Linked DNA regions of Struthio camelus. The protein of the gene in region 2 purifies or fractionates together with the protein of the main gene of each other region. This does not show direct contact. Links are inferred from orthologs where the notes say so. Each region holds a gene or a part of one and is shown on either strand. Other genes may lie near its edges.

The links. Proteins that work in one complex are often made in the same cells at the same time.
Region 1: the proteins of ING4 (region 2) and BRD1 purify together in Homo sapiens (affinity purification with mass spectrometry; 5 studies listed by BioGRID and IntAct, with this or other methods). This does not show direct contact. The link is inferred for Struthio camelus from reciprocal best matches to the Homo sapiens genes ING4 and BRD1.

Annotation. Positions count from the first base shown.
Region 1 is NC_090942.1:21,042,304-21,050,213, forward strand, and holds the start of BRD1 (bromodomain-containing protein 1), read right to left. Parts: upstream 3,067-7,910; 5' UTR 2,995-3,066; coding exon 2,946-2,994; intron 1,390-2,945; coding exon 9-1,389; intron 1-8. UniProt on the Homo sapiens protein: Scaffold subunit of various histone acetyltransferase (HAT) complexes, such as the MOZ/MORF and HBO1 complexes, that acts as a regulator of hematopoiesis.
Region 2 is NC_090942.1:90,814,216-90,821,541, reverse strand, and holds the start of ING4 (inhibitor of growth protein 4), read right to left. Parts: upstream 3,039-7,326; 5' UTR 2,981-3,038; coding exon of another isoform or gene 2,944-2,980; intron 2,677-2,943; exon of another isoform or gene 2,525-2,676; intron 1,481-2,524; exon of another isoform or gene 1,392-1,480; intron 1-1,391.

The sequences.
Region 1 (7,910 bases), about 70 Mb from region 2:
TTGCTTACCTCTGGGGGGGGATATAAGGAGCAGATACTGTTGGCATAACTGTACAGGGTTCAACCACTGTTTTCTTGGCCTTTTTTGTCTTTTTTCTGACTTTTGATGTAGACCTAGCAGTTCTGACTGATCCCTCCTTTCTACAAACACCGTTTTTGATTTCAGCTTCTCCATAAATATTTAGAGGTCTCCGTATGCAACCTGGTGGAGTATGTACATCACAATATGCAGTCTTTTTCACAGAGAACGTTGTCCCACTGCCAGTTAGTTCTTTCACAGGTTCCATTTTCATATATAGGCCAGCTTTTTGAGCACACGTCACATGGAATGCAGTATAGCAATTTGCTTTGTGGCACTGGATGCAGGCACCAACACCTTTCTGTTTACAGAGGTAGCATGTTAACTTCCATCTGGCGGGGGGAATGTTCCTGACACCATCAATTGGCTCAATAAAAACTGTATTGGCAAATCCAACTTCTGGAATCCACAAAGCACACACAACATGTCCCCATCGATCATCATCAGTCTTTTTAAAGGCACCTCCCTTGTTTGGGCACAGCACACAGTCTACAGGCCGAGAACGGGATTGCAGACAGTGTCTGCAGAGCCACTGGCCCTCAGGTATATATGGCACCCCATAGCATTCCTGATGTACTGCTAAATTACACATATCACAAAATAGGATTACATTGCTGTTCTGACATTCACCATCCATGCATATACAACACACTGCATCTTCATCAATTAAAGACTGATGATCACCCTGTTTTTGGTTCTCACAATAAGACTCTTTTTCAAACCTATCCATAAGGAATTCAAACATATTTTGTGACACAACTGACACTCCATCACTTTTCCGCTTCTCATTTATTATTTCTAACCATGCATAATCTTCTTCATCCATGTCATACTCAACTTCATTATCAAGTTCTTCTGCTGATTTTTCAATGAATTTATAATAAACTGGAGGTCGCCGAGGAGCAGAAGGTGGACTGTATTCAACAATCCGTACTTTTGGTTCTGGAAGTGGAGCTGCTGTAGCGGGTATACCATGTGAGCTTGGAAGAACTTCATTTTTCTTTTTCACTTTGTTATTTTTATGCCGTTTGCTTCTTAGACAAACTGGTGGTCTTTCACTATTTTCTTTATTGCTGTTGCATTCACTCATTTCCTGGGCTGTAAGATCATCTTCTAATATAATCTCTAACGGATCAAAGATACTGATCCTATGCAGGCGACCTTCAATTTCTATTTCAACCATTCTTTGAGCTTGAGCGTACGTCAAGGTTTCTCGTGTGGGGGAGTGCTTAATACTGCATGGGGAAGAAGAATGCCTTGCTGCCGATACTCGATGACATCTTCCTTTTCTCCTCATTTGGTAATGTTTACCTACAATAAGAGCAACAGTTAGTACAATGAACTACAAACATTTACATTAAAATATTAGCTTTATTTTAGTAGGAAAAAACCCTTAAAAGTTGTATAACCCCCAAACTATCTAACCAATTTCCGAGAGATCAGTTAACCTGTCACCTTTACTGAACAGGACTGCTCAGGCTGTTTTGAAAAATTTTACCTAACGACAGAAAGTAAGATCTCCTAAATATTAGCTTCTTACATAAGTACCACTGTACAGAATTCATATTATAAAATAAGTGCTACATACACACTAACTGTAGCAATTCTGTAACAGAGAGAAAACATTTCATAAGTGCCACCAAAAAATACAGTTTTGATATACTGTAAGAAAACGTCTCTATAATACAAAACTTCCAATTCATAAAGAGTGTCTGTAGTTTCAAATTTGTTCAACATCAACAGGTTTTCTTCATCTCTCCCTAGTTTCTCTAAGTGTTATATTTAAGAATCACCTCACCTCGTTGTCATTACTAGAGAGTTACTAGCATCAATGTAATTTTACTGTTTTAAGTGGGCCCACATTAGGAGGACGACCCTTATTCAGTGTTAAGACTTTAAACTCCAGTGAGATGCACCAAAGAACAAGAACACAATCTGACTTGCAAAACACTGAAGCATGGACCACAATTATGAAACATTCAACTCGTAAAGTAGATTTGACCTAGAACATACTGAAAAATTCACTGTGCTTGTGTGTGTGTGTAAACACACATATAAACACCCTTATCTTTCAACCAATTCTTCAGGATTTGTTCTCAGAGCAATTGGGGTAGATAACAATCTCACTCTCTTTAAATCCAAACCCAAGGCTTCTTCTAAAATAAAATAACATCATTTTCAAGTTGCTTTTCAGAACAACATTTTCAAAATGTTTTTCTTTTCTGGGGGTTGAAAATAAGACAAGACAAGAAAGATGAAAGATAAGAAAATAAGACAAAAGACAAATTAATCAAGTCAAGCTAATAAGTTCGTTCTCTATTCCCCTCGCTTTTCTTCCTAATAAATTCCTAATAAATAAACAGCAAGCATAGCTGTCAGCTACAGAAAAGAAATACTCCTGATGTTTAACCGTTTGCTCAAAGTATTAGGGCCTCACCATTCCAATTCTGATCAAGTTAGAAATTCTGCAATTCAAGTCAATGCTATTTAGTAGCCAAGATAATTCAACTAGCGTTAGCATACAACAAATAGACAAATACAGAGACCAAAATACAATTACAGTGAAAGAGAACCATAGCTAACACATGTAGAAAATCGGAAAGACTGGAACAATTAATACATCAATTATCCACAGCCTGCATTTGCTTTTGTTCAGTCTATGATGTCAATCTCCCTGAAAGTGTACCTTCACAATTCTGCAGGAACTCCATTAAAGATGACCAGATATTTTAAGTAGCTACCTTAGATCAGACCCTCTGAAGAGCTAGTTTTATCTGCTTGCACAGATTGATCTTGTTTTCCCAAAGAGAAGTGAAGAGAAAAAAAAAAAAAAACTAAGTTTTATTATCCATGCAAGTGTTACTTACAGATCTCGCTTTTAGATGGATATTCCTTAAATCTTATTATATGTTTCATAGGCTAAACACAGACACAAAAAAGGACACTCAGTGTTCAATCATTACAGGCCTCTCACCGGCTCTCTATAAACAGATGAACAGAAAAGATCACCTCTCTTCATATAAGTTTGGGTGAAATACTTAACTGAATTCTACAAGATACGAGTTAAGCACACCAATTTCTTACCGACTGAAGAAGTTTAAACCACTAATAGTGGTATAAAAGGTCCAATAACTAGAAATAAAGATACACCGATAATTTATCTGGAATTAAAGTTCCCATATCAGAATTTGTAATTCAGGGGCCAAAGATAACACATTTGCTCTGATTTCTGTTTATTAACATACACACCTAGCAACATTAGGGATTATTCAAATAAAAAACATATATGTGCTGATGTACAGCAACCTGCTACTGACTAGTACGGTGTCACTTTATATTGTTGATTTTTTTGATACTTGTCTTTCATTTAATCAACAAGCAAGAAAAAAAAATCATTAAAAAAGTTTCCCTCTTAAAAATCTAGACGAACTTAATGTCTCTTCCTACAACTACTAAACATGCGCAACCACCCACACTATTCATCATGACAGTGACTGTTTTGACAAATTAATGGGGTAGGGATGAGAGAGGTAGCCTTCAGAAATCAGAAAATAGGCTTCTTGTCCACACTTACCCATGTAACTTAACCCAGTATCATAGAAAAAAATCCATTAATGTTAGATTTCCAACCTCTTACCGTTCCCCTGCCAAAATTCTTACGCAACCCGGCAACAGGAACAGGAAAAAATATTTTAAAGCACAAGTTCTTGCACTGGGACTTATAACTGCTGTCATAAATGTCAAATAAAAGAAATTGTATGAACCTGAAAGATAAAAACGATTGGACTAGCATCTAAGCACCTTTTCTGTAATATTCACCTGCAAATAAAACTAAACTAGAAAACAAATTACAACCACAGTTACATGGAAAATGTATACCCTACAAATATAATGAAATGAACACAGAATTGGAATTGGTGCTCCTCTGGCCTAATTTTCTAGAAACTCAGTGCGAGTAACTTAAACGCTCTGGGAGTTAAAGAAGTATTTTGTGTTTTGTGTTTTTATTTTTTTTAAAAACTCCTATTTACAAACTTCCTAAAAATATTCCAGAGGAAGACCAGGTTTCTGCATAATGAATCTACAGCTGGCAAACTGCTTTGCTTTTCCGAGTTACTTATCACAGGCACCTTTCTTCCCTCCCCTCAGTAGTAAGCTGCAGATCCACAGGAATGAAGACCACGTGCACAGGTTTGAAAACCAGTAAAGTCAGATAACAGTTTCTGTTCAGCATTAATAGCGATATCACACTGATGGGAAAATACAAATAACGTATTTCTGCTAGCACTCTTCTGCCTCTTATAACAACTCAAAGGCTGTAGGAGATAAAACTGGAAAGTTATCCATAGCTTTCCTCTCCTGGAATTACATCAGCTGCTTGGGAAAAAAAGTCATCGGCAGACACTTTCCCTCACAACAAAAGTGCACGAAGACAGCTGGTTATGTGGAATGCGCAGTATGAGGCAAAAGTAGCTTTTACTGAGGTGTAGGATAGCTAAAACCAACAGAAAAGTATAACACCACACGCTTTCTGATTACGAATCCCTTTGCAGTCTCTCTCCTAGTTACCCTCCTCCACTCCAAACAATCGCCTTTGGTGCCTGGATCCCCTGTCCCGTGGAAAAGAGAATGCCATTCTCAATGGATACTTTCATGCAGACCATTAAGAAGAGAAAGACACAGGAATGCTCCTTAGTCCTAGACAATGAGGGTAAGCAAACACTGCTTGCATGCACACAGGGAAGACACCACCCTCAGTTTCAGCTGCGGAGCAGGACCATTTCCCTCAGGGGAATGCGGAGAATTAGCGCTCACGTAACCCGCCCGATCGGCCCGGCGTAGGCTACGCCACTTGGCATCACCACAGCCGCTCTTTCCCCTGAGCGTGAGGGGTGCGGGAAGGAGGCCGCCGACGCTACTGACGCCCCGGCAGCTCTCCCCTCCCCCGCCTCCCGGGATCAGGCACTCGCCCCGGCTCCCGGCGCGCCCCCGCCGCCCCACGGCGCCCGCGCGCGGGGCCGCCCTGCCCACGGGCCCGCCCACAGCCGGCTTCTGCGCGAACACTTCCTGCCCACGCCCAGGGAGCCGCCAGCGCGCACACACCCCTCCGCGCCGATGGTTCCTGCCCGGCCGCGGCATTCCCCCCTCCCGGCCCCCGCCAGGATGGTTCCTGCCCAGGCCCATCATCTCCAGCCCTTCCCAACAGCCACCTCCCTCCCCGCCGCGAAAATACTCGGCCCACCAATATGGCGGCTGACAAAACAGCCCGAGCGGCGCCCTCCCCCAGACCGCCGCGTTCAGCTTCCCCCTCGCAGCCTCCCCGCCCGCTGCGCCCCGAGCCGCCCCGCGCCCCCCCGCTGGCCGTGCCCGACCCGCCTTTCCCTTCCCCCCCGCTCCCCCAGCGGGCTCTGCCTCGCCGCGCCGGCACCCGCCGGCTCCCGGCCCCGCAGCCCCCGGCGCCCGCCGCCCGCCCGCCTTCACTCACGCTATGGGAGCCGCTGAAAGCGCGGCTGACAGACCCTCCCGCTCCGCCTCTGCGGGCCGACGCTGCGGCCGGTTTAATGGCGGAGGTCCCGCCGGCGCTGCCGCCTGGTCCCGCGCCCAGCAGCCCCGGGCGGGCAAGCGGGCGCCGCGAGGGCCGCGCTGCCGGCGGCCGCGACCCGTCGGTGGGTGGGGGGCTGCGGCTGCAGCCGGGCGCGGCGCATTCGTGAGGCACGGCGCAGGTCGCGGTCCGGCTGCGGGCTCGGCGCTCAGCTCCCGGGGCTGAGAATCTCCCCTCCCCCCTCGGCACAAACAATGCGGCTTCACCACAGCGCTGCGCCGACGGGGGGGGGGGGGGGGAAGGGGGGGGAGGGAGAGGGAAGGGACGTGAGGGCGCCAGGCACCGCCCAGCCCGGCCGCCGCCGCCGCGCCGCCCTGCGGGGCGGGGCCTCGAGCTGCCGCTGCCCCCGCCCCGCCGTCAATGGCCGCGGAGGGAGGGGGCCGCCTCGCGCCCTGGCTCGGGCAGGCGCGGGGCGCGCGGCGAGGCGGCAACGCTGCGCCTCAGGGCGCAGGGCGGGAAGGGGCCGCCGCGGCCCCGCGCCCAGCCGCGCCGCGCCGCGCCGCCGGCTCAGGCCGGTCTCTGCCGGCCCGGCCCCGCTCCGCCTGCTTCGAGACGCCTGTTCCGGCGCGTTGCGACGCGGCTGCCTCGGGCTCGCCGACCGAGCTCGGTCACGTCCGCCCTTACAGAGAAAGCCGAAACACCCAGCTCACGGTCAACAAAATGGGGTGCAGGAAACAGCACAGGACTTGCGTGTTGGAAAGCCAGGGCTCAAAACTGCAATATTTGGCACTAGTTATTTCTTTAGGGAAAGTCAGAGCTTGCAAGTTAACTCGTGTAGGTCAGGCTTTTGCTTTCAAGCAATCAGCAATATCCTTACATTTTGACAAAACAAAAGCGAGTTATTTCTAGCTCTCCATGCAAAGAGCACCCTTTGTTACGTACTATTTTTAGACTGCCGTTGCAGCCATAGTCTAGATTTGGCGGATTTTACTGTATCTGCTTCTGTAAGACAGCTGCACCCACATGCTTAAATGTCTCCTTTTCAGCTAGCCCAGTCCGGGACAAACACTTGTCTTTGCCTATCACACGGAGCAAGCCCTGTACGCACTAAACAGAAAAGCAGTGAGGAGTACACATGGTACTCCTCATCCATCTGTACCAACCACACATTCGTTAAAGCTTTCTTCAAAATAACTTACCTGTTTACTCTTGCATGGTTTCTAGTACTACAGTGTTGGCTCGCCTCAAACACCAGCTTGTCCAACAGTAAGTTTATAACTAGGAAATCAGACATAGATACACCTGTCATTATTTACTTGTAGCAAGTGAATTAAGGTCCAGAGAGCTTAAGTAACTTAGCTAGGGAAACCCTGTGGAATAGGCAGTGCAAATACTTTCTAACTCATTTTTCTGCCTCATCGGGGACCACCCAGCAGCTTGCTTTCTAACAAAGCAGAATCCACCAAAAGAGCTAACGTTTGTACAGCGCACTCAGTGAAGAAATAGGTCTTTAGGAGCAGATTGGCCAAGCATCTTCAATTTTACATCTGAGGGGGGTGGGGGGAAGAAGAAAATATATGCACTATGGAGCTTATTTGCACCCTGCTTGTGAGGAATCACTTTCTGGTTACATCATTTAAATAAGCACATTGTCAGTTTAAGAAGTCTTACAAGGTGCTGACTTAAGTTAATGTAGTTGCATAGGAATTCAGATTGTGAGACAAAGATATTAAAGAGGAAGCAGCATACTAAGTCGTATACATTAGTGTACAGTCTTAAGTAGCAGGCTGAGATAAAAATGAGTAGGGTGACAAACACTGTCAAGAAGCTAATACTAAGAATCATTTAGGCTAGAAAACACGTCGTTCTGTCTTTTAAGCGATAATCCACATGTATTATCTGTCCTGCAGTCGAACAAATGCTTTACAGCTGGAGACAAGTTTTCCACAGAGTGCTTGATGGTGTCCATACTCTCATGTGTCTGAGGCACAAGTCTGGCACTTCTCCAGTTTCTTTTTTTCTACCAGGGAAGTTAACAGTGCTCAGCAGCTAGGCATCCCTTCAGTAATGCAATGCTCCTTAAATTTGTACTATTTCACCATCTTTTTGCATTTTGAACCCATGCTTTACTCTCTGGTAAGCAATACTTACATGGCTTTTCCCAAGATATATCTTCCAGCTGTCTCCTGTGCACAGGACAAATTTTGCAAAAATACCCCATCCATGAAGTGTAATCTCCTAAACTTCAGGCTGATACGGGCAGGCAGTGGTAGTTCCAAAAGGATTTCGT
Region 2 (7,326 bases):
TAGAAAGATAAAAAAATGAACATAAGATACATTAAAATGAATTTAAATGGTTCTATAACAAGGCTTTAGAAGGCATTATAGAGAATTATCACTGGTGGCTGCATCACTTGTGCAAATTTCACATGAAGCAGTTCTTGATCCAACAGAAGAAAAGTTCCTGATCACTTGTAAATGAGATAACAGACTGGAAAAACGAGAATGAAAGGAACAGACCAATAGGACAGCAAGATACAGCCTGAATGGAAACACATACTTTCCATGAAGTCTCACACAGGGTAATACATTTAGCAGTGAACAATAAGAGTGATGGATACAGGATGCTGGACCATATTTCTGAGAAGCAGTGAGACTTGAATATCATGGTAGATAATTACCTGAATATGAGCTCCCAGCTGAAACACAATGGTGAACAGGGATAAGGGTATACCCAACAGAATGATAACCCGACTTCTTTAGTTAGCACTATGAAGACTGGTAATAAAGGGCTGCACACATTTTCAGAGAGTCAGAAGTTCAAGTAGAATGCCAAAAGGTTAGAGAAGGCTTAGAGAAGAACAACAAGGCTAATTAGAGAATTGAAAACTATGTTATCACAGGAGATTTTTTTTTTTTTTGCTAAATTAAGATTTAATTAATTACAATCTACACAGGGAAGAAACTGTTTACGAGGGGACACTTCAGCTTGATAGGTAAGAGGCAAAATGGGTGCAATGGTTGAATACTGGAACTACGAAAATTAACTTGAGACAAAAGTCAAAAACCATGATAGAGAAGCCTAATCAGCAAACTACCTTACCAAGGACTGAGAAGGATTCTCTTTGACTGAAAGTATTAAAATCTGTACCATGAGCTTTTCTAAAAGATAAACTCTAGCTTAAGAGCAACAACTGTCTTACAAGTATCTAATAAAGGGAAGTAACATTGTATGTAGGACACCAGACAAAATAATCAACAATGGCCTTAAGAGCTCTAGCAGTATGCAGAAAAGGCTACGCCAATGCTGTGGAAGTTTTCCTAATGTCATTGTAGCCAGTTTTTTTTTTTTAAATATACTTAGATTGCGCGCATTTTTTTTAGAGCAAAACACACTTAAAAGCATGACATTGCACAATACCACATTGATATCCATATTCAACAGGATGATAAACTACTTCAGTTGCAGGGCAACACGCATCTTAGTTGAGAGAAAACAATAACAGCTTGTAATTTTCTCTCCATGGTTGCCCTAGAGGGGAACAGAGTAGTTCCAGCAGTTTCACGGATTTTAGCTGCCAGTGACAATGAGATCCAAGTGTTTGGCTTTGATGGGCGCACTCTCTAGCCACCAAGCTCATGTACAGTTTCCTTTCTTCCCAGCTTGGCATTTATTATACCACAGATATCTATCATACCTCTCAACATTCAATACTGCATCTTCCTCATCCTTGCCTTCTGGTTCTGCATCCCAGTTTTTCATTCCTTTATCTTCACGCTCCAGGCTCTTACCCAGAAAATATTTTTTTTCCTATTAGGAAAAAGCTACATCCCCCTTATGCGCTTACTCCTTGTCCCATCTGCTTCTTTTCTCTCTCATGCAGCCCACAGCTGTTCCCATCCTCCCCTCTCCAAGGCATCTTTGCTCAGAAGCCTCAGCCAAGCGCAGTCATCCGTAACGCAATGAGAAGAGCAGAAGAACGTACATCTTTGCTCAGCTAGTCCTTGCTCCTCTCTAGTAATCTGCCTCCTCATCCAATGTTTCTTCCTGCCTTTTGCATCCCTCTTCCTCACAGTCCTAGATCAATGTTCTTGCCTGTTCATTTCTAGCTTCTTCTCTTCAGTTGTCATGATAGAGTATCATTTCTTCTCATTCTCGAACTTTCTGAAATTAATACATATAGCTTCCCTCCCCCCAGCCCCCCAATGACAAAGGGAGCACTGAAGGAACATGGGAATGAACCCTTGGTTTCCATTTCAACACCATATTAGCCTGTTTCCTCATGGCAACTCTGTGCTGGGGGAAGCCTAGTGTAGCTTGGATTTCTGAAGAATCAAGCTGAAAGCTCTGAAGTTTCCAATCATATGCAGACAGATGACAAGACATTCAACTTGGCCATAGAACATGAAGTAAAAGACACACTGCAAGTACTTCTATGCTTTTAAAATGCTGCCGGTCACTACCCTTGCTGGTGCCTAAGGACCAGGTCAGAAAGAAAAAGTGAAAATAAGGTTCATCAAAGAACAGGTCACCAAATTTCTTCAGGAACAACCAACCCAGTTCACCTATTTGACCATTTTTAAGAATAAGTAGAAAAAAAGCATTCAGAGCATTATCCCCCAAAAGGCAGAGTCTGACAAAGTTATAAGCAACTTAAAGCAAGACGATACCACGGGACAGCTCGGGGAATGCTACCAACGCCATGAGCACGCATACAGCTCTTCTTCGACCCGCGTAAACGAGACCGCGCCTTTAAAACCACCATAAACAAAGGAAGCCGATGAAACGATGTCCCCACAGACACAGCGGTCACCCTCCGCTCCATCTCACCGCTGCTACGGCACCGTGTGTCCAAGGGGACGCTCAAGCGGCCGCTCCTGAAGAGCGGCGCAAAACAGCCCCTCAGTCCTTTCCCCACTGACAAACCAGGCGCTGCCGGCGGCGCACCGGCGGGCGCGGCAGCCCCGGCCACGCCCCGCCCCACGGCGGAGGGGCAGCCCGCGCCCTGCCCGGGCGGGCCGCCGCCGCCGCCGCCGTGTCCGCGCGGGCGGGCCGGGGTCTCCCCGCAGCAAGGCCCGCGGGTGAAACCGGGACAAGGCCGCCGCCCGGCCGCGGGCGCTCCGGGGCCCGGTCCGCCCCGGCGCAGAGCTCGGGGCCCCGCCCCCGGGCACGGCCCGTCCGTGCCCCCGCGGCCTCCAGCCGGGGCGGCCCCAGCCGCCGCCCGCGGCCCCGCCCCCCGGGGCTCTTACTATCCAGGTAGTGCTCCAGGTACATCCCGGCCGCCATCTTGGGCCCCGCGCACGCAGGCACTTCCGGGCAGGCCGCTGCCCGCCCCGGAAACGCCCCCCTTCCCCCTCCCCGTGGCGGAGTCCGCTTCCGCCCTTCTTTATAGGCGCGCTTCCGCTCGGCTTCGGCCGCCATTTTGGGCGCTGCGGGGAGCGGAGCCGGGAGGGACCCGGACGCTGTGGCCGCCTCTTGGCCGCGGGGCAGCTGCGCGGCGGCTGTAACGGCGGGGGCGGGGACAGGGACGGGGACAGGGACAGGGACAGGGCCCGCGGGGCGAGCGGTTTCAATGCAGCCTTTTCCTGACTGCCCTCTGCTCTGAGAGGGCAAATACCTGCTTCTTCCAGCCCGCCGTTAAAGGAAACGGGCCCCCGTCTTCTGGAGGCGATGGAGGTCTCCTGCCTTCGAATAACTTTCGAGAGCCTGCCTGGGCACTCCTGCTGGATCATCTGGGTGAGGAAGTGCCGTTCGTCTGTTACGGCGCTGTATTGTCCCATTTACCTTATAATAGGCCAGCTAGCATCAACTGCTGCTGTGTTATAACCAGAGGCTGTCTTTGTTGTAAAATGATCATGGTACAAATTTAACGTACCTAATCAACAAAACCAATGAAATTGAAAGTTAAACATGTGAGCATGTCATCTTTTCTGCATTTTGCTGTTGCCACTTTCATAACTGTATACAAGTTGCTCGTAGATTAATGATCCCCTCGCTACAGACTTCAGAAACCCTTTGCCAAGTCGTCTTTTGCTAGTGGTTGCACATGCAAGGAATAGTATTGTGCTAGATAAAGAGGGTGAGGTCATAACTGTGGTTACAGAGGAGCCAAAATGAAAATTATCTTAATTCTTTTGGACTTAGGATCTATAATGTTCAGGATTTTCACTTGATGAGATTAAGGTTAGTTTAGCATGCTATAACATGTATGGGGCATTGAGCTTACCTTTGGCAAACATTTCATCTGCTGTTCTCCTGTCCACTTGCCTACCTTGTTCTGTTTTTTCTGAGTCTCCTGATAAGACTGTATAGTAACAGTCGTTGTACAGGGTACCTTGCTGCTAGACTCTGGCCATGAGGAAAAACTGACCAGGCTTGTTTCTGCTCTTTTCTCCCAAAGATCTCCCAGTGTGCCAGACCTTTACTTACATAGACATACTGGGATTAAGTGTTTTTTAGCAGCCTGCAGTGCAAGACTTCAAGAAACTTATAATTCAAACATTTCATTTTATCTACCATTTTGCTTGTTGGGTTAATTCAGAGGTCCACTGTGTTTTAAAGATGCAGTATTCTTCTCTACTTCTCTGTATCGCGCTCTCTCTCTCTATCTCTGTATCTTCTCTACATCTCTCATATCCTCATTTAGGTTATTTATGATTTAATTACTTAAAACACTTATTTCTGATTCTTTCCAGTTCCCTTGTGGTGCAGTTGGTTTCAATTAAGCTGAACGTTATTGTTAAGCCTCACTACACCTTTTTTCTTAAAAGTATTTCCACATTCTTGTATAAATTGCCTTAAACTCGTAATTAAGGGGAAGGATGTGGCTACTGCATGACATCTGCTTCCTATACCCCTCCACAGTCCTAATCCAGAAACCCCAAAATGCATCCTGCTTGGAACTACCAGGCTGGATGGAGCTGATGTTAAGAACTAGGCATTCTTGGACGTCACCTCTTTTTGTTAAGAGATCACTCGGCACTCCCATCTTAACCCTCTGAGCCACAGCTAGCAAGATGGCAAAACACACTAGACTACTGAAATGGAGTAAATGACTCCATCTGGTCTATAGGAAACTGTAGAAAAATTTACAAATAGATCTTTAACCTCATTAACTGCCACTGTGAAAGTGGAAAGGAAAGAGGAGAGGCAGTTTAGCATACGTGTATGGTCTGACAGCCAGTAGAAATGCTTCCGATCCAGTAAAAATTAGTTTCTGGACTCTGAATCTAGAAAAGTTTGCTGTCTCTCTGTTTGCCTCCTTGAAAAAGCTGAAGCACTGAGGTTCATGGAGAGGTATACCTGTCAAGATTCAAAAAGCATCCTGATCTGCAGCTGAAATGTTACTGCGCTAGCTATTTGGGTGAGGGGTGTGTTTTGTTTTTTTCCCTCCTCTCCAGTGGAAATAGTTTTACGAACTAGTTTTACTAGCATGGACATGTGATTTCACAGGAGGATATTACCCTAAACCGGAATATGCTGCAGAGGCATATGAGGCCAGCCTTATAGTATTAATACCTGGGTAACTATTTTAGTAACAAAGCCACATACGCTAACCCCAACAGTTACTACTCTTTTTTCACCCCAGAAGCATATTGGGATTTGCTACTTCAATTACATCCTATGGTTAGAGCAGCAAAGGCCTCCTAGTTTGCATGAAGGCTTGACTGATGAGTGGTGGGTGTGCTTCCCAGCAGGCCTATGCATCTCAGGCAGGGAAACTAAACAGCCTATCCTACTGACATAGTCTAGAAAAGTGGTTCTCAACTTTTATTCGTCTACAGGTGCCTGCACATTTTTCCTGGAAATGTAAACATCTGCATAACAAACTTAAGCCTGTAGCTTTTCAGTTACCTTTCACAGACCTCTTAAAAGTAGTCCAAGGACCACAAGTGAAGGCCACTACTTCAGAGGGATCTTTATGCACACCCCAAAAGGAGGCCTACAGCTCCAGAGCCTGTTTGCTTCCCTTTTTGCTGCAGAGGTACATATTCGACCCTTCTCACTCTCTCACGTTCTCAGTTCAGAGGTCCCTGCTCTATATTTCTCTCTCTGCAGGGAAGACTAGACGTACACACCCGCCTTTCTCACAAACACCAAACAATTCATCTGGAGCATTTGCCCCCCAAGTTGGTTGGTTAATTTTAAATATGAAAAAGGACACAAATGGCTCCATATTATGGCTGTGTCCAGACATTCCAAAAACATACCCTAGTTCAGTAGCAAAACTAGGTGCAGCCTCTAGTTCTTTGGAATCATCATTTCTTTTCTTGCAGTTTTTTTTTTTTTCATTCATTACATAGACACTCCATGAAATGAAAATGTTTGTTGGACCATGTCACTACCTCTCTCTAATACTTTGTAAGGCAGGGGATGCCCTACTCTACAGAAACAAGAAACCATGCGCACAGATTTAGTCTGTGCTACCTGAAAAGATTAAACAGGTACCTATCTTGTTGAATAGGAAACACAGAACTAAGCAATTTCCTGCTGTGCTCTGAAATGTACTAGTAAACTTGGGCTGCTCTCAGGTATATTACCTGCAAAATATTGGCTAGAAGAAAATCCTAGATGTGATATATATATCCTTTACTAGATATAAAGATGATAAAATACCAGTAACAATGCAGAAGAGAGGCAGTAGCTCAATTATATTCTATATTAAGAAGGAAGTTGGATGACAGACAAATCTGAGAGAGACATAATGAAATATTATCTGTTGCTAATGAGACTGAGGAGAATGTTTAGTTCTACCTATTAAATAAAACATCCTAAAACTTGCATAGCTAGAATCTTACAACCAAGAATTTTAAAATTGTCTGGCAAGCAGATGGAAGCAATGGGCTTTCTTTTCAAAACACCTTTGGAGTTCTCAGAGTATTCCAGAAGATCAGCAAATACTTTTATTTCAAAAGTATTTTAAAAGGAAATGGGATCATCCAGGTGGCTCTAAGCCAGTTAACTTAATACTGATTTGGCAAAATCACAATGTAACTGATACAGGATGTACTCTGCTTAAAAAAAAAAAAAAAAAAAAAAAAAGCTATTTGATTTAAAGAAGAAGATCTTATTAAAAGAACTACATATCCTTTTATAGCAATGTAAGTTTGGTGGTTAAAGATAACTGTTGGCCTAATATAGTATGACTTCTGTCTGAATACTATACAGCCTGGTCATTCATAAAGAAAAAAAGAAAGGCAACAGATAAGTACTACATGACAGAGCCAAACCTAATTGCGAGGTACCTAAAACAGCTCAATTTAATTTCGCTGTTTGGGAAGATGAATAGAGTGACTTGATCATGCTCTGTAAGTCATTATAAAAGAAAAAGATTTCTGATAGCAAAAGACTTTAATATACTGAACAAAGGCATAACGCGACCCTATGGATTAAAAAATGAAATAAAATAGAATGGCATTTTCAGTGGCAATGATAACCAACAGAAAACCTTTAATAAGGGACATGGTTGATTAACCATAAGGCTTTAAATTATTTAAGTCTTACATCTTTCTTAAAGATTTAACTGAATTACAGATCAGCAGTACTATCATCAGTCTCGGCTGAGATTCAGTTACTGTTTTGTGGGTGACTTTTCTAAATGATCTCAAACCTACATGATGACCGTTTCCTTT